Schizosaccharomyces pombe: one gene and its partners. The protein of the gene in region 2 interacts with the protein of the main gene of each other region in a biochemical or structural test. Each region holds a gene or a part of one and is shown on either strand. Other genes may lie near its edges. The genes, in order: hat1, hhf1, gcn5 and rna1.

Region 1 (5,336 bases), 3.7 Mb from region 2:
TGATAGTATTGTCTGCACTAGAAGATGCCAAAACATTCGCTGCAGTGGGATGATATTGAACAAGACCAACTTTACTATACAAAAAAGTCAGTAACTAAAACCCTAATGCAATGTACGACATACCGGCTATGGCCCTTTAATTCAGCAATTGGATGAACATCTTCATAAGGCTCCATAACAGTATAATCTTCTGGTACTTTCCATATCATAATCTAATTCGTTAATACATAAATAAAGTCAAATAGCAGGATACCTTAGAATCATCACCGCCGGATGCTAATACTTGATCATGGAAGGGATTCCAATCAGTATCTAAAACAGCCGCAGTATGGCCCCGAAACAAATTAACTTGATCGGGAAGCTTTCCTCTTTCGTTTAAAGGGATAACTGCCAATGCACCTCCAGCTCCCGCATTCCAATTAACACTGAGGTAAAAGGGGTTCACACTCAATAGGTTAGAATCCCATGCATTATTGCTAAGCTATTGAAGACAATTAGTAAATTTCAAACCATTAAAGTATCGACCAACCTTTATGTTGTCGTAGCAAAGTTCTTTTTTGCAGGTTTGTCCAAAGATATGTCCTAACGTCAGTTAATAATTATTTACTCAAAAAGCATGCGTACTATATTTACTAGCTCTCACAAATCTTCCACTCATTTTTGAAAAAGAATAATTCCTTTATAAGATCGAATGAGAATTTGCTAATTGAGCTAACTTTATCCGGGGTGTCAGGTAATGAACAAAGTCGGGATCGGAATAGGAAGGAGGACGGATGAGAATGACAAGCACCTAAAGTTGTACTGGTCGTTGAAAATAACCAATATTATTGATAGTAGATATTAAAATATTTAAATTTTGGAAAAAGCAGTTCATTATGAGGAATTGTTTGAATTTTTATAAGGTGCCTTTATAGATTTTATTAAACTAGATATCACACTAAATTTGCAAAATATATACAAAATTTATATTATTAAAATGATCACTGTTTCAAATGTCTTTAATCATTTCAAGCGAAAGCTTTCAAAAGCAAATTATATAAAAAGTAATTGCGTCCAATAGTGTAATTTAGTCGATTCTCATAACTTTTTATGCTAATATGCCTTCAATATTCTCAAAGTATTTCAGATCTCTAAAAGTGTTTTCATTTAGGAAGAAGATTGAGCAAGTTTTTGGCGTTTTCGAGGCGAATCTTCCTTAAGCTTGGGTAGCTTTTTGACAATCTGTTTATACTCATCAAACTGATTTTCATAGGCGTTATGAATTTTTTCAATACGTTCGGACTTATCCAACTGTAGCAACACATCAAGATTTTGACGAAAAATCCTTTCCTTTATTCCTAGTCTAACAGATTTCCGCTCCAATAATGAAAGCTTTTTTAGTTTCGTTGTAAATGCTAATTCACAACAGCGTGAGAATTGACGCTAAAAAAAGACAATTAGTAAGTTGCATTGCATGGTAAATTTAGCAAATTACGAACCTGGGTTAACTTTGTTTCAGCTATTTTCGAGTTTATCCACTGCCTAGAAAGAGAGGGATGAAAGTCAGGTTCTGAAAATATTCCCATTGATAATAATCTTTTATAGTCGCAATGGTCTCTAAGGCTATCAAACGCTTCCGATGCATCCTCAACTGTGAAGTCTAAAATTTTAGGATTTTTCAAAAAGGTACTAACAATAGCATTGTACAATTGCGAACCGTGTCCTTGATGTTGAAAAGGGGGTAAAATCACGAATTGTGAGATACGAGCTCGAATACCATCGTGAATTAATTTGTCCCATTTATAATATTTGTATACAGTACAATAACCACGTAAGCAATAATCATCTTCAGTAGTCTCGTAACTTATTTTTGTTAATAAAACCTCGATAAAAAGGTAAAAGGAAAGTAGACGCGTAGAAAATAACAAACTTACAGTAAATATACCATCCATCTTGGATCATTAAGGTCAATAAAAGAGCCCCCTTCAATAAAAAATAAGGAAAATATTTGCAAATGCTGCATAATCTCACTAGCTTCAAGAACCGTTGCCTATTAATACATTACGATTATTAGCCAAAGAACATATAGGGATATTCAATAATTGAATACTTCTCCAATTGAAAGGTAATCGAACATACTTGTAAAATCTTGAATGTTTTTCCATTAAAGGAATAGTTATGAATACTATTTGCCGAATGAACGTCAAATGAGTTTCCTTCAACCTTAATGGAACGATCTTTTAGATAAGTGTTTAATGTTCCTTCAATATCAGTTGGTTCCACTCCTGAATCTGGTGCTAGGCGCTCTGAATATGAGATTTCCAGTTTTGGGACCATCAATGGGCATTCATAGGTTATCTAATAACTGTTACTATTTGCAATCAAATTTCATGACTAAAACTTGCTGATTTAATCTTACAGTGACATTTAGATCTTTATATCCATAAATAACCTCAGCATCTCCAAATATTGCATATGTATTGCTAGGATGGTATTGACAATCTTTTTCATGCTTTTCGTTTACTGACAGGTGTTAACACAAGGTAAAAACATTATAATTTAACATAGCATACCTTGTACAATTTCTATGCATTCATTGGCATTATGTACCCATTCATCAACAGCACTCATCACTGCATACGGAAAATTGAATACCTGACCCTATTTCAAGTCAAACAACAAAAAATACATGTGTCTAGTTGGAAGTAACAAACTACAAGGCGACGCAAAATTTCACGTGCTACACCTGTTATTATTAAAAAATATTTACTATTATATAGATTTCTAGCTCCAGTATTGCCAATTTTAGAACCTACAATTCTTTATAACTTTTCAGATTGCTCAGAACAATAACTACAAGTATAGATTTTCTGACACAACAATCCATTCTTCATCGATGACCCACGATGTTCAGGTATTAAATTTTTTTGATATCATTAAACTAAAATACGATTTGTATCGCAAACATGTAAAACAGTCATAACATCAGGATTTTTTAGTCATTAACCAAAAGAGGACATCATTGCTTGTTCAATAATATGCAGCTTTCTAAAGCGAAAATCCTTAAAGAGTCTTGAGATTGATTTCCTTAACCACCATAAATTCTTGAACGCCCAAACGACCGGCTTCCTTGCCAAAACCGCTCTGTTTGATGCCGCCAAAGGAAATAAATGGTTCGTCAACCATTTCGATATTGGCACCTACAAGACCCACCTCTAGTTCTTTGGCAACGTGGATCATTGTGGACAAGTTATTGGTAAAGACGTAACCGGCCAAGCCAACATCACTGTCGTTAGCCCATTCGATCACCTCTTCGGTGTCGTCGAACTTGAAGACAGAGGCGAGTGGGCCGAATGTTTCCTCGCTAGCAACCAACATGTCTTGAGTTACACCGGAGAGCACGGTTGGTTCAAAAAAATAACCTTTGCTTGAGGAAATCTCCTTTCCACCAACAGTGATTTTGGCACCCTTTGAAACAGCATCTTCAATGTGCTTGCTGACCTTTTTGCATCCATCTTGAGAAATCAAAGGGCCAACAGCAGAAGAAGAGTCAAATCCATCTCCTACTTTAATGGTCTTGACTTTTTCGGTAAGCTTGCTGACGAATTCGTCGTAAACATTCTTGTGAACGTAAACTCTGTTAGGGCAGACACAAACTTGACCACAAGAGTTAAACTTGATAGTGCAGAAAGATTCGACAGCCTGATCAATGGGGAAGTCAGGGAATACAATGAAAGGGGCATTACCTCCTAACTCCATTGAAACCTTCTTGATTGTGCTGGCACTTTGTCCCATAAGAATTTTACCGACATTAGTACTACCAGTGAAGGAAACCTTACGAACGATAGGGTTGGTAGTCAGTTCTTTACCATGAGCAGATGCATCAGAAGAAGTGATCACATTTAAGACACCGTCAGGGAAACCGGCCTCTTGCGCCAACCTGACTAAACCTAAGCAAACGTAGGGAGTGCGGAAAGCAGGCAAGAAAATAGCGGTACAACCAGCAGCCAAAGCGGCACCACCTTTACGAGCAATCATGGCGGCGGGGAAGTTCCAAGGAGTAATCAAGGCACTGACACCAACTGGCTGTTTGATGGAGATGAGAAAGTTTTGACTTTGTAAGCTGGAAGGAGCTACATCGCCAAAGGTACGAACGGCTTCAGCAGCATACCATTTAAGATATCCGCTACATGTGGTGACCTCCATCTCAGCTTGGCTCAAAGGCTTGCCGTTTTCTAAGGTAAGCATCTTGACCAAGTCGTCTTTGTTCTCCATAATAAGCTCTGCCCAGCGTTCCAATAACTGACTACGTTGGACATGAGTAAAATTTTTATAAGTTTTGAAGGCCTCGTTAGCGGCACTGATGGCTTTTTTTGTTTCCTCTACTGAGACATCGGCCACTTTACCGATTATTTCACCAGTAGCTGGGTTATCAACCTCAAAAGTTTTGTTGTTAGGAGAAGAAATCCATTTTCCTTGAACAAAAGATTGAGCATGAGACTTATCAAAGCCAAAGAGCTCAGGGCGTTTGAATTGAGGGGCCATTTTTGAAGAGTATTATACAAAAAAGTGGGAAGGAGTAAATGTTAAAAACTATATGAAACGAAGTTATCGATAGAAATGTTATTATTATTTATAATAATAACAAATAATAGCGTAAGCAGCAACAGATCTTTCGTGGAAAAAAGAAGAATGCAGGTTTTTTTAGTGTTTTCAAATTAAGCTGCAGATTTCTTTTTTTTAATGTAGTGTAAACATCGAGAGAAACGATGCATATTTATAATTTTTCAACAAGACATTTAATGATCAAACCATAACGTATGCATCTTGGTTTTCCGTACTAGATTTACGTCTCAACATCATGTTCTTGGTGTATGCAAACATTTCCCCTGGAAAAAAAGAAAGGCGTATTGAATTTGCGTAAATATCGGCAGACTAACTTATAAATCATAGTGTCTGGTTTGTTAGCTTACGGCTCCCGTCTTCTTCAATGATGTATATAGCGAACTTGGTGGAATTGCATTTTTTACATCATATAATTGAGTGCCACCATATGTGAATATGTACCGACTTTACTATACTGAATGGCAGTAATATAAGCTACAGCTACTGTGAATGAGTATGAAAAGAACAGTGGGTAAAATCGCTTCGCTTTTCATATTAAAAAATGTATTTTGTATTAATGCGGTTTCTTTTTTTTTTTTTTTTTTTTTTTTTTTTTTTTTAGCGACATAATTGGAGTGAAATAAATAACTAAAATAGTATTGAAACTTTTATCAAAAAATAAAATTAAACATTTGTGGTATCCGTGCTTAATTTTTCCTTGCTTTTCTAACGATTATTAAAGTTATCAGTAT
Region 2 (3,950 bases):
CTTAACAGAAACTAATGATACAATTATGAATTTGCCCATATAACTGGAAAGCAGGTCTTTAAGTCTATTGATATTAATAATTCAGAAAGCTTTATGACAATAATGAATATGTAATCTAAATTTTTACTAATGATTTAACATTCTTTTTAACATCGAATTCATATCATAAAAAATTTAGAAAATGCTGATTATTCAGAAACAACCAAGCATTTTGCTAATAAAAGACGCTTGTTTCAACCATTTAATGTACTATGGCAATCTACGTCTGTTTAAACGATGAAAATTACCACTGTTTTACAAAATTAAAAGAAAGTCCTTCAATTTATACAAAAAATGAATTCCAAAAACGGTCAAGTTTACAAATATGGTACTGCAGTCATTTGAAAACTAAGCTTGAATTTTATGGAAAATAGCTATTTGTTGTAAAATATGAGAATAGTTATTATAATATTAGAATATTGTTATACTAATGTACCAATTTAACGGATGCATGATGAAGCTTGAAACTACTAGCAGTAAAACATTCAGCCAAAATCAAAAAAATATAGAATATGACTTTGTTAACTGTTTAAACGACTATATACAACGATAATTTATGTAAATCACTTTATAGCATTCTTCATTGTAAACAATACTACCACTCTAATAAAGTGTGCCTTCGAATTATGGGTCGAATATATTTGGCGGCTCGTGAATATTCTTGTTCAGTAATCCCAGTGTGAAAGGTACTAATGAATATACAGAAAACAAACAAAGAAACTTGTAAAAATGAGATAACATAGCACGCAATATTAGTCGGACCCATTATTTAGATGATTGAGTACTTAAAGTAAGTTCTTCTTGAATGAGCATTGATTGACATTGGTCTTTCAAAATTTCAAATTAATCAAAGCCCTCACATTCCGGATACAATACTAAATTGCTTTTAAACTTTCTGTTGCCCGATAAACACATCCCATCCTAGATTCTAAAATTATATACTAACTAAATTAACTCTGTGAGTATATGCTTAATTCTATATTTAAATTAAATGTTGCCAATAAATTACAAATATTTTGCTACTTCACGAAATGACAGGCAATCGCAATTACCAAATATAGCAGTCAGCAGCGCTTCCTTTTTATGTTAAGAATAATCATCCGAATAAATTTCAAGGCTTAATTATGAAGTCGCTAACAAAGGACTACTTTTACTCGTTCAACTATGCTTAAGAAAGCTCTAAATTTTTAAAAATAAGAATTAAAACGACCGTTAATTCTCTTATAAATGCAATTCCAGGTTCTAAAGAGAGGTTACATAACAAGCAGGAAAGAATGACTGATTATTTTTCACGAATTGTCTATTTTTTTTCGGCCGATAAGTTCATTACATGCTCGATTTGTCTTTGCAAAATATCTTTCCGCGATATATCAAAGCTATTAAGCTATTAAACAGTTCGTAAATACCTGAAAACAGTTTGTTCATATAAATATGTGCAATTCTTTATGCGAACCGCCATTAAACGATAAAGAATGCTGCGATAACAACCAAATCTCAATACCAAAAGTGTAAAGATTTTTAAAAAAAGCATTGTCTTCGTAGTTCTGTATTCTTTTATAAAACAAAAGACATAAATTTAACAGATACTTGAAATAAAAGAAATCATGTTTCAAATAAAGGTACTTGTTGTCATTAGTTTTCATTAATGTACATAATGTGTTATCTAAACTTGTCACTCTCAAGGCTGAATTCATTCGCATGAATTAACGACAAGTTTCTATAATTGAAGATAAATTCAAACAACCAAATTAACACATATCCGTTCCCATCAAAGTGAACGTTCATCTAGCTCTTGGTAATGTAGAACAAAAACAACAATTATTCACGAAGCCTGCTTTTCACTTATTGGTAGCAACATATCAAAGGGTGACAGTATAATACAGGCAAGCAGTCAATCAAAATTAATTTAGTCTCAATTACAATTGCCAAAAGTCCTGGAGAAAATTATGAGCGTTCGCCACGGAGACGACGAGCCAACTGCATATCCTTGGGTTGAATCGTAACACGTTTTCCGTGAATAGCACACAAGTTAGTGTCCTCAAATAGAGAGACAAGGTAGGCCTCAACAGCTTCTTGGAGAGCACCAATGGCAGAAGATTGGAAACGCAAGTCAGTCTTGAAATCTTGGGCGATTTCACGGACCAAACGTTGGAAAGGTAGCTTACGAATTAAAAGTTCAGTAGACTTTTGATAACGACGAATCTCACGAAGAGCGACAGTACCAGGACGATAACGATGAGGCTTCTTAACACCTCCGGTAGCGGGAGCGGCCTTACGAGCGGCCTTAGAGGCCAATTGCTTACGGGGTGCCTTACCACCGGTAGACTTACGAGCTGTTTGTTTAGTACGAGCCATTATATCAAGCTAGTAGAATGAATATCAAATAAAAAGACAATCGAGAAAAAAATAGCTGTTGTGCTACTTTTGCCAATTGTTGATCTTTAGAATTAATGGAAACGCAAGCGTACTGCAGATATTTGCTATATATATGTTTTGAATCCACCCGATCTCATCAAAAGCAGGGTTAGGGTTTTGATGCAGATTCAAAACAAATAGACAGCGTCGCCCCAACTTCCCTCTCTTCAGACAATCATTTCTTTTAATTGTTTTTGAATACGGATAAAATCCTTTGTCAATTTGCATTGACTTTTATCCTACCGTTAACATCTGTTGACATCTATAAATTCATTGTTCCTTTGTTAGTCAACGGAAAACCCCTTTATCTTTATTATACTTAAAGAATTACGCGTTTTTTTGCGTAGATTTTAATTTTTTCTACTTCTTAACATGTCTGGTCGTGGTAAAGGTGGTAAAGGTTTGGGAAAAGGTGGTGCTAAGCGTCACCGTAAAATTCTTCGTGACAACATTCAAGGTATTACTAAGCCTGCTATCCGTCGTCTTGCTCGTCGTGGTGGTGTGAAGCGTATTTCCGCTTTGGTTTATGAAGAGACTCGTGCTGTTCTCAAGCTCTTCTTAGAAAATGTTATTCGCGATGCCGTCACCTATACTGAGCATGCCAAGCGTAAGACTGTCACTTCTTTGGACGTTGTCTATTCTTTGAAGCGTCAAGGCCGTACCATTTATGGTTTCGGTGGTTAAACTCCTATTACATTGATTTTTTTCTCCTTGTTTGTATATCACTTTATTATTTACCACTTAATTCCTTTTTTACCCCTGTCTGCTATAAATGTTGTGCAATTGTTCGTGAAATTTGAATTATCTATCAATATAATTTTTGTGGATTATTACCTCTTTCTGCGACTTTCCCTTTTTCAGCAGTCTTATAAGTTCTGTTTTTAATTGGATTTGTTCTGCATATGTTTTTATGACTAGTTTCTTTTGTAGGTGATATTATTTTTTGCAAACAATGTCTTTGAATGTCACACTTTAATAAACTTAATTATCACGTTTCGCAAAATACTTCATTTTGTAGTCGAAAGTAGATACAAGTTGGTATGCAAAATGGTACAGTAATGTTTCCACTTCTACAAGATTATTTTTGTTGTTGTAAATTTACAGCGTTCATACATTTTGCGACTGCTTACTGATCATTGACATACCAAGCGTCAATTGGCTTCCTGATTCTACTAGCTGAAGTGCTAAAAAAAATTACTTCCTGTATTTTTATTCTACATTTGTATCAAAATAGATTTCAAAATACCTAACTAAATCGAAAATTTGAATTGTTGACTTACTCAATAACCTTTTGATAAACAGCATCAAATGGTGCTGTCATTCCAGTCCACAAATGAAAAGACGCAAGACCTTGACGAACTAAAGCTTCCAATCCGTTGCAACATTTCCATTCCAAGTCAGATGCAACAGCCATTAGAGGTGTATGCAAGGGCTTGTAAGCCATGTCAAGGAATACTCCACCATCGGCTTTGTTAGCAAGCAAAGCTTTAATAACA
Region 3 (5,205 bases), 270 kb from region 2:
CCGGATCAGTCCTTATAGGCTTCGTGATCCAACCCAAGGATCAGAAGAAGAAATGATGGAAAACGTGTTTGATTGCTTATGTAGTCTGGTTCAAGAAACGAAAGGAAAATCCCTTTTTCTAAAAGAGGAAGGTATTGAATTATGCATACTAAATATGAAACATAAAGGAAAAAGCCGTTATTCTACAATCAAAGTTTTGGACTATCTTTTATTTGGGCCTCTTTCCACTCCTTATTGTATTCGATTTGTAGAAGCAGGCGGTTTGAAATATATTTTTGCTGCGTTTATGAAAATATCTGCAGCCGATACTCTGGAACATATATTAGCTATTCTGGCATCTTTATTTCGATCTTTACCTGCTGACACCGTAGAAAGGGTGCGCTTTTTACGGAAATTCATTGAAAATGACTTTGAAAAAATGAAACGCCTTTTCAAAATTTACGATCGCTTGAGAATCCAACTCAAAGGTATTGACCAAAGCAGAAAACTTGATTTTAGTCCTGATTCGGAGGAAAAGAGTACCAAATGGTTTCTCCAACAAATTGATCATGGACTGTTTCCTTTCCAATCTACAGTTCTTATCCTTTCGTGGTTATGCGTTGAAAATACAGTGACATTGAAAAAAATTAAGATGCTGTTTTCCGAAGCATCCATTCCAATTGATGAGTTGACTGATGCTCTAAAAAATTATCATGAAAACCTTGAAGAACCGACGGTGGAGTCCGAAGAGGTGGAGGCCAACGACTCTTACTACAGAATTGACGAAAAACCTATGGTTACTGTTTTACTTGGATCTATGCAAGCATCTGTGTAATAAAATCATGACTTGTTCTGATAACATATTTTCAATTTAATGAGTTGTACATTTGTTATTATGGAACATAAAGAGTGTTTGGTATTATAGAATTATATATATTTTTAAACAAAAAAACTAAAAATTAAACACTAGCAGTTCTTGATATGCCAGCATATTTGGAAGGCACAAAAGATATTCGTGTAAAAAATTAAAAGGTGAAATGTATATGTTATAATCAATAAAACTTCGGAATAGACGTTTCGATGATAATAAATGTAAATGATTAATCGGCTAAGTGTGAATACTCAGTTTCACGAAGTTTTTTCTGGAAAAACTTTTCCAATCTATCGGCATTTTTATAGTAAGTCGTGTTGGAGTCATTGTAAGAACGGCAATTATCAAATATATATTTTGCATCCCGAATAAATTCCTCTACAGACTCATACTGGTTGTTACGCAACCGAAATTCCATAGTCGAAAGGTCCATGGGGTGTTCAATAACTTCGTAATAATCGGGTACATCCTCTTTACTAACCGGTTGCATAAAGGGCCAGGAAGACGGATGATTTTGCATTTCTGTAAAAAGCATTTCCAAAACGGCAAAAAAAGGTTTAGGTCTGGGCTTTTTGGAGAGCTCTTCCATTTCCTTGCACCATCCAACTTCCATCAACCCAGGAACTTGAGACGGCTCTATATGAGCTGGACCATCTTTGAATACGTCTAAACCAGGATAAACAACGTTCGACCGAGTGATCCTGTTAATTTTGGAAACAACAGCAGCTTTCTGAATAGCCAAAATCAGATTAGCTTCTAAATACTTTATTTTTGGAATCATGGTGCATTGCATAAGTGTGCCACCTTCGTAATCCTTAATATAGCCAACCCATATAGACTTGTCAAGAGTAATTTCCTTAGTAAATCCTTGTTTTTTAAAATACCCGATTGCATAGTTATCTGCATATGTCAAGAAGTGCTGAATTGTAGTAGTTCCACGGACATAATCCTTTAAATGATTCATTAAATGAGAACCATAACCACGAACCTGTTCATTGGAAGCAATCGCACAAAATACAATTTCGGCAAATCCTCGTTGTTCAAATGGACGATAAGTAATACCGCCCACTACATGTAAATTATCTTTGACAATGGTCATTGAAAGATGGTTTCGATCATAAATTAGCCGCGTAATGTATTCTTTTGGCATTTTAGGAAGTTGTTTCATAAATATGTTTTTTAAACCAGTCAACATGATCATACTGTCGGCGGTGTCGTCGTTAGAAACAACACGAAATTGAATAACGCCGCTTTTTTCTTCTAATACAGATGGCTTTTCAGTAACTCGTACACTACTAATATCAAAATCAACATCTAAATCTGTAGCCACGAGCTTTCTCTTTTTAGAATTTGAAACTCCGTTAGGTACGAAATGAGAGGATGAGCTTTCCGTATCCTTGTTTTCCTTTACAGCTAAAGATTCTTGTCCATCGGAATTAGCAATTGCTTCGCGAACATTTGGATTGGATTGTTCGTCCTGTTTTACCGGTTTATCATGTACACTATCGTTTGACGCATTTGGAAAGTTGGAAGATGTACTGTCTACAACACTTGAATCGGGTGGTCGTGTTTGATCATTTAACGAATTCGACATGATTATTCTATGCCACGCATCCAAACAAATAAATCCAAAAAGTGAAGATACAGAAATTGTCAAGAACGATACAAGATGAAACGAGCACGAAAAAACGGTATATAATAACGAAATACAGAAAATTAAAATAAACGATAATTTGTTAAAATATACACCACGAACCCAGTTATTTGTCTCGAAAATTTTGTTTTTGGCACCAACAATGTGAAAAGACGTCGACCAGCCCTTTACCTTTCTAAAACTTAAGGAAACTCGGCAGGGATTCTCTTAGAAAAAGAACCTCTTTTTATAGAAAGAGTTTGAACACAAGTCAACCGAAAATGACCGTATCAAGGAGAATTTTTTAATCTATAAAAAAAATCTCAGATTTGCGCTCCAAAATACAATCAATTTTTTAATACTTCAAATCAACGATTATCCTAATATTTACTAATTAAAGACACAAATACATGATTTGACTTGGGATGCAAGATTAGAAAATTTCTTCTCTACGAATTTTCTGCTTTCATTTTTTGAAGTTATTGGTGTTGCTTCTAAATATAGAGACGCACCGTAGTTCGTTAGCAATACCTCTTTTTGTGATGATATTCTTTTATGTATTTAGCGATAAAGCTAACGAAAATATTTTCTGTGATATTACACTAACTGTGAGGCTTAGTCTACGTACTAATGGAGTGACTCTGCTAAAACGAATATTTTGGATTTAACTCGAATTATTCATTATAATATCCAACTTCTTTTCTTTTTTTTTAAAGAAGATTTTAAGACTCTTAACGTGAGATGTTCCTCTTCTTGCCGATACCGCTGAATGTTCAAGACATATGGAAAGTCAATAGCAAATATAAGCACGTCTTACTGACATGTCCTGTATGGTATGAAATCAATGAATTAGTGTTAAAACAAGTGGATTGAGTACATTGTTTAAATGGCGAAGTGGAAATGGAACAATTGTAGAAACATTTTGTTTTCAGAAATTACGCACTTGTTTTTTATTAAAATTTGTCATTTAAAAATAGTTTCTAGCAGTCTTCTTGTTTTCCTTCTATTCTTTTCATCAGCACTTTTTGCTAATACTTTCTTTTTAGCCAAAATAAAACTGGTATGAGACACATATAAGTGGTGTAGTTGCATGAAGGCAATTGCTCTTTCTTTGGGTTGTTTTATTAATGTTAACGTAAAACTTTGGTTTTTAGTTCGGGTATATCGTTTGGTTAAATCTTTAGCACTCATCGTTTTGCCTGTTCTCCCGGTTTATACGAGTAAGGTAAGGGAATTCAAGAAAGCATATGTTATGTAGTTGACCCTTTCTACTTATCATTGTTTGGAAACCTGACAGACCTTGTTTGTTATTTTCTAAGCCATTCTTCAATCTTCAATGTTACATGCTTTCCAGGGAAAGTTGGGATTATTTTGCTGTCCAACTAATAAGCACTCACTTGCTAACTCAGAGCAGGTACTTCGTTGTTCTCATTGTGGGTGGTATGAACCAGTAGATTCGGCCATGATTGATCAAAGGCGCAGGCGTGAAGATCTTCCTACTCCCGAAAGACCTGAGGCGAGTGCTCAACAGCATGCATTTTTTCCTGGCTCAAGTTCGCAACAAACCGATATTCCTAACGTTCGTCCTCAACCACATATACCGCCTCCAAGAAAAAGTGATGAGGCACCACCCCCTTACAGCTACAAGTAATGTTCTACCTTAATTCTATTTATTGTTCTACCGTTTCTAATGCTTCCCTGATGAAGCTTTCTAAGCATGTTTGGTAATATTTATTGTGCATACTATATGACTGGATATGATAGATAATAATGGCTAATTTTTTTTTTTGATTAATAGAATACAGAAGAGTTTTAATTCATAAATATTATTCATATAATCTAACTCGTAAGGCACAGCCTTTTTAAATGGTTTCCGGCGAGGAAGGAAGCTAATAAACCAAAGGATAAAAACCTATCTAAAGCATCTCATTAGATCTTTTTAATTGTCCCGATATAATAAACTATTATAGTGAGCGCCAAGCCCAAACAAATGCTGGTAATATGCTATACACAACGGTTTTTCGAACTTGACCGTTGAGGGGTTAAACTTTAAAACTGGACCTTCTGTGTTGTAGACATGAACAGGAACCTCAAGAGAGTTTGCTAATGCCTGTATTTCAATATCACTTCCCCATTTGCTATTGTTTCGAATTTCGTTACAATAATCGGATACTGGCAAAACTTCTCCAGATTCTTCGTCTAGCAAAAAGCCTTCAAACTGTTCGCAGTGCTTTAATACATAATCAGCGGATTTATTACGAAGAGCTTGGCTATTTAGTTTAACATTATGATGATAATTTAACTGATGTGAAATGGAAGCAAATAAACAATTTCCATCCGCTGGTATATCGACTGCAACAAGTCCAGCTTCCTCAAGGATTTTTGAAAACTTTTTTTTCTCTTCATTTTTGAGATCAGCCATTTTTTCTGACTCTAGCTCTGCCTGCTCAGACATTTTTTTCATCTCTGCTTTACGTCGTTCCTAATTAACTTTGTTAGTGATAATTCGTCAAAAGTTAAGCACTTACAAGTCGCTCTTTTTGTCTATTCCTAGACTTTTTAGGCTGTTGCGGTGTATTTTCTTTAGTATTCAATGAGGACTGAACTGATGATTTTTCTGCCGTCGTAATTTTCGTATCTTCCATCTGTTGTAAAAGCGTATTGAGGAGATCTTCTTGCTGCGTTTCATTTGTCTCTTCATCGCCTTTATCCAATTTTTGTC
Region 4 (5,070 bases), 330 kb from region 2:
AATATGTTTGCTAATGTATCGCAAAGCTTGTTAAAATCTTAACAGCATCGTTGCTTCTCGCTTTTCAGCAGCCTGCATACATGTCAAGCAATGTAATTACATCTGTAATGTTGATTTTAAACAATTATCAAAAGATAAAAATTTCAATACACAAATACGCATTCATAGCTGTTTAACAACTTTACGCCATATAGAAAAATCATCAAAGTTAGTCATACAAATGTAACGGAGTCATCTCGAAACAAACGAATGAAAAGTAAAATGTACAAGGATAATTCATCTTTCTTCAAATTCTTCCAAACAATCAGTAACCATAGCATCCATCCATTCAGTCACCAAATATCCCAACCCCAATAAAGCACTTTCATCCAAACACTCGAATGACTTTTTCCCTGTCGCAAGCATGTATTCTGTTGCAAAATCCTGGATGCTATGAACTAAATCCTAAACATAAAAAGATTAGTTAAACAAGTATTGGCAGAAGCTGTGAACTTACAGGATCCGGCAGTTCATGTGGAATTGGAACAGAAAAATCCTGTACTAAATCACGAGCTCTGTAAGACAATTCACCATCAGCATTCACCAAATTATACAAAGTTGGCCGAGTTGGTGGATTTGACATTAATAGATGGCGTTGGACGTAGAGTATGTACTATGCTAGGTGAAGCTTCTAATTCGTCCTTGCAGTAGTACAATCATATTTGGAAACACCAAGCTCAAGTAATGGAATCCCCACATTCTTAAAAGTTAACTGCGACTTACAGAAAATTTATCTCGAGGTTTACAGACATACTGAAAAAATAGTTCAGGCTTTACGACATAACAACAAAACAACTTTACACAGATACAATCCAAACCATATTATATTGACCCAATACTTAATTAAAGTGGGTTATTAATAAAACGTAAAGAACCTTTTCGCCATTTTTGAAAGGGGAATTTTTTTTCTGTCATATACAGATTTAATCTAATACTATTTATCGGTCCTGCCGCGTAAAAAGACAGAATGTTGATAAAAATGCAGAAGGAAATCGAATGGTCGATATAGACCATCCGTTGACCACAATCGTTCATTACCGCCTAGCATGAACAATAGAAATATGTTAAAAAATTTCGGAAACAGCGGAGCAGGGTTCGAGAGGGAAAGTAGTTGCTCTAAATATGAGCTTTTGATAGCTCATCAGCAAGTTCTTTGTCTTCTTTTTCTTCTTCAGAAGTCTCCGGCTCAGGGCTTTGAGACTCAGCTTCTTCTTCTTCATCCTCCTCCTCCTCGTCGGTAAGTTCCTCCATATCATCAAGCTCATCTAGTTCACCACGACCACGGGTGCTAAAGACTTCACGTATTTCATCAACAACATCGTCTTCTTCCGAAAATCTGTTTCCATTTAATTCAAGGAATAAAAGATCCGGCATTTTCTCATCAATCACAGTTTTTAGGGTCCGGACAGCATCCAGCTCTATCTCGTTATACTGTAAGCGTAACGTTTGAAGCCCAATATTTTCTAATTTAGAAAAAGCATCTACAACTGCGGCAGCACCGCGAGCAGATAAGAGACAATCGTTGAGGCCTAGTTCTCGAAGGTTGGGCCAGCTTTTCAACGCGATAGCGAGAGCGCTAGAGCCCAAGTGCGTAAATGTGTTATCTTGAAGATCGAGTACCTTTAGCTCTTGGCAATATGCTAATCCTTCAAGCAATAAGTGTTCAATACCTTCGGGACGGATACCATTTTGCACCATTTTCACTGTATGTAGCAAACGGTGGCTCTGGAAAGTTTTAGCCCATTCTTTCATACTCCCATTTTCTAAACGATTTCTTCCACAAATAATGGAACGCAAGGGAGGTGCATTTTTAGCTTTCTTGTTGACCGCCAGCTCTTGCAAGGCACGAGCAATTTTTGCGCCAGCTTGAGGACCGAGTCCATTATTGTGTAGGTAAAGATGCTCCAAAGGTGTGTGTTTTGAAAGAAAGTCAATCAAGGGCTCCTGTGCAGTAGGGCCAAAGGCATTATCGCTCAATCTTACAGTATGTAGTTTTGGGCACTTGAGTAAAGCTTGTAGCAACAGACGTAAAGCCTCAGGAATTTCATCTTTGACACGTCCAGTAAAGATATCACTAAACTCTGCAATTTCTAAATCTTTTTTTGAGGCAATATTCTCTGACAACCATCTAGCAGCTTCGGTTCCAATTGTGTTACCAGACAATACAATTTCCTTTACAGAATCATCTTCTAACAGAACAGCAAATACAGACTTCTCGTCTTCAGTTGTAATTGCATCTAATTTCAAAGACTTCCCTTCTATTGAAAAACGCGACATGGAGTTGGTTGTTGAAAGAAAAAATATAGCAGGTATGGTGGTGAGGAAAGATTGTGTGAACTAGCTGTGTATGTTAAATTTGATCGAGGATAGATGCTTCAGTCACTTGAATTCATGGCTTTTAAAAAAGAAACTAAAATAATATTCAAAGTAGAAGAAGAACGAAATTTATCCTCTTTTGACGGATACCCCCTTTACTCAACCTGTTTTTATTTACAAACTCAAATGCGATCTCTCGCTAATGAGTTTAATTTTAAGACGATTCTATGCTATTAGAAGTCATTTAAATTATTAGATCAGATTAGCGCAAACCGAAAGATACTCAATGTCGGAGTGGTGCATTAGTGCTCGGATACGTTCCTGAAAGACATGTATAAAACTTTTGTAAATAGGATGATTGAGCTTTTTTGACATTTATCTATCATTCATTTTTGAAAAAATAGCTGTGACAATCCTGTTGCATATAGTTTGTTTTTTTGACTAAGTATAGAGGATCTTATGAAGAACCTTTTTGAGTGACCTTAGTCCTGAATTCTTAGCTTAAGTTTGCTTTAACTTAATTGCATTTCTAGCAATTAACATTGCTAGATTTTTGCCTCATCGCTAGTCCATTTATAAGAATACGAAGTTGAACGAAGGAATATTGACCAAAAGAGCTTGGTGACTTCCAAAAAATGAAGAATCAAAAAGATCTGAAATGAGTATCCCTATCTTTCAGCTTTCCGCTTGTTTCGTGATCATTTCAGTTACTCACACATATACATTTATGAGTTGACCCAAAAAGAAAATCGGAAAGCGGGAGTTTAACAGATATATGAAAAATCAAGATAATAACAACAATTGATATTTTTAGTTTAACATTTCTTATTCATTACTGTGAAAATCCACGAGTCTGCACTCTAGACACATAGAATACTCTTTAAACAGCTTTCACATTATCAGGAAAGCTATTCCATTGATACTGTATTCTTTTCAGTAAATTAATTCTCATTTCATAGTTGTAACCATTCTCGAATTGGACTTCAGTCCGCATTCCAGTACTTGATCTGCTTTACCTGTTTCAACAATTTGAATCGTTTGATTATTTTCCCATTCAATCATGACATTGATTTAGACGTATTGCTGAATTAAGCCATTCCTGTTATTTGTCCCAACGTATAAAACTGGTTAAAATGTTTAAGTACTGTGAATCATGTCATTAAAAGTTTGGAAACGTGATTTTAAAGGAACAACTCATTATTTTGAACATAAATCATTACCATACAGATTTTTCTTCTTTTTCTTCTTTTATTATAAATAGGATACGATAAGTAGAGGAAACCGTAAATTTATGATGATTGACTCCATGATGCGGTAATTTCAATCCTTCCACTACACACTGCCTTTAATTCCAGGTCCATCTGGTTAATCATTTTTTAAAGAATCTAATTCATTCATATTTTTTTATTATAATTTACATTATATTTTCAATTTCTTTTTACTGTTTTCTCTCGTTTCTTGAGTCAACGGGCGAAGATTCGTGTTTCAAACGTAGTATTCTTTGGAATATCACAAATCTCATTTTAATTTTTAAAACGGCTTTCTAATTTTCTACCGAGAAAGAGTAGAAAGTTTCCCATTTCATTCATAATTTCTGATCCATTCTTGGTATCTTATTGTTTTGCTTTTATCCAATCTCAGTTTATATTTGTGAAACTTGAAAAAGAGTTTCTCTTGTCTCTAAAAGACTAAATTTTATTTTTTATTTTTTTATTAATTTGCATTTAACATCTGCTAATCTTTAAAATGGCAGTCCTACAGTGGAAGTTATCTCGTGTTATATTCGTGTTGTTAATCATTGGGATTAGCTCTTTTCTCATTTACTTCCAATTTGGAAACTCTTTTTCTGCTTCACCTGCTTTAGAACGTTTACAAGATGTATTTTCCAAACCAAGTGTACAAGAATACGACTACTTAGTACCTCTGGATGAAGATATGCAAGGCCTTAGCACGACGTATCATCAAGCGACAATTAACGAGGATGATCCTCAAGAGCCCAAATCCCATGAAATAGTAATCCTCTTAGCGAGTGATGGACGTTCAAGTGGCAATATGGCACCTGAAACATTTAATCAATGCATAGAAAACCGAATTAACTACGCAAAGCATCACAACTATGGCTTTGAATATGTTAATGTAAGCCAAATGAACATTCCTCCAGTGTGGGCCAAAATGCCCGCTATTATACAAACAATGAATAAGCATCCTCATGCGAAATGGATTTGGTGGTTGGACCAAGATGCGTTAATTTTGAACACAGAACTCTCTATTCAAGAACATATTTTGTCACCTGACGTTTTAGTGGAAAAGTTAATGAAGAATGAACCTATGATATCTCCATTTAGTGCTGATCTCGAACGTCTCACCCCAAGTTCCTATACTGTTGACAGTGCTCGTTCTTTAGGGCTATTGATTTCTCAAGATTTGAATGGCTTAAACGCGGGAAGTTTCTTTGTTAGAAGGTCGCCCATGATGGCTCTGTTTTTGGACTTATGGGGCGATAAATCCTTTAGAGAAAATAAGGTTGCGGATCATGAACAGGCCCTTTTGGGATATTTTGTTAGATATCACCCGGAAATTGCTGCTATAATAGGAATTTTACCTCAAACCCTTATTAATTCTTACCCTGTTGGCCAGCCGGAAATGGGCTGGAAAGAAGGTCATTTGGTTATACATTTTGCTGGGTGTTGGGTGGAGAACCGTTGTCAGGTTTTG

Evidence for each region.
Region 1: of the proteins of hhf1 (region 2) and hat1, one has a biochemical effect on the other in vitro, tested with the Schizosaccharomyces pombe proteins (one study listed by BioGRID).
Region 3: of the proteins of hhf1 (region 2) and gcn5, one has a biochemical effect on the other in vitro, tested with the Schizosaccharomyces pombe proteins (one study listed by BioGRID).
Region 4: the proteins of hhf1 (region 2) and rna1 form a complex in vitro, tested with the Schizosaccharomyces pombe proteins (one study listed by BioGRID).

What each region holds. Positions count from the first base shown.
Region 1 is NC_003424.3:1,027,504-1,032,839, reverse strand, and holds hat1 (histone acetyltransferase Hat1), read right to left. Parts: upstream 2,621-5,336; 5' UTR 2,611-2,620; coding exon 2,553-2,610; exon of another isoform or gene 2,503-2,552; coding exon 2,399-2,502; exon of another isoform or gene 2,338-2,398; coding exon 2,119-2,337; intron 2,030-2,118; coding exon 1,914-2,029; intron 1,843-1,913; coding exon 1,479-1,842; intron 1,423-1,478; coding exon 1,147-1,422; 3' UTR 899-1,146; downstream 1-898. Other genes in the region: coronin Crn1, read right to left, coding at 1-74, 124-212, 254-481, 530-582, 625-658; ssd2 (succinate-semialdehyde dehydrogenase), read right to left, coding at 3,043-4,524. UniProt on the Schizosaccharomyces pombe protein: Catalytic component of the histone acetylase B (HAT-B) complex. Acetylates 'Lys-12' of histone H4 which is required for telomeric silencing. Has intrinsic substrate specificity that modifies lysine in recognition sequence GXGKXG.
Region 2 is NC_003424.3:4,698,273-4,702,222, reverse strand, and holds hhf1 (histone H4 h4.1), read left to right. Parts: upstream 1-2,623; 5' UTR 2,624-2,826; coding exon 2,827-3,138; 3' UTR 3,139-3,450; downstream 3,451-3,950. Other genes in the region: hht1 (histone H3 h3.1), read right to left, coding at 1,984-2,394; multifunctional aromatic polypeptide Aro1, read right to left, coding at 3,731-3,950.
Region 3 is NC_003424.3:4,971,355-4,976,559, reverse strand, and holds gcn5 (SAGA complex histone acetyltransferase catalytic subunit Gcn5), read right to left. Parts: upstream 2,937-5,205; 5' UTR 2,445-2,936; coding exon 1,080-2,444; 3' UTR 862-1,079; downstream 1-861. Other genes in the region: SPOM_SPAC1952.06C (uncharacterized protein), read left to right, coding at 1-814; SPOM_SPAC1952.04C (uncharacterized protein), read left to right, coding at 3,225-3,316, 3,530-3,543, 3,638-3,708, 3,898-4,134; OUT family ubiquitin-specific cysteine protease Otu2, read right to left, coding at 4,423-4,965, 5,012-5,205.
Region 4 is NC_003424.3:5,029,030-5,034,099, reverse strand, and holds rna1 (RanGAP Rna1), read right to left. Parts: upstream 2,330-5,070; 5' UTR 2,317-2,329; coding exon 1,156-2,316; 3' UTR 839-1,155; downstream 1-838. Other genes in the region: RNA polymerase I upstream activation factor complex subunit Rrn10, read right to left, coding at 277-444, 497-622; alpha-1,2-galactosyltransferase Gmh3, read left to right, coding at 4,102-5,070.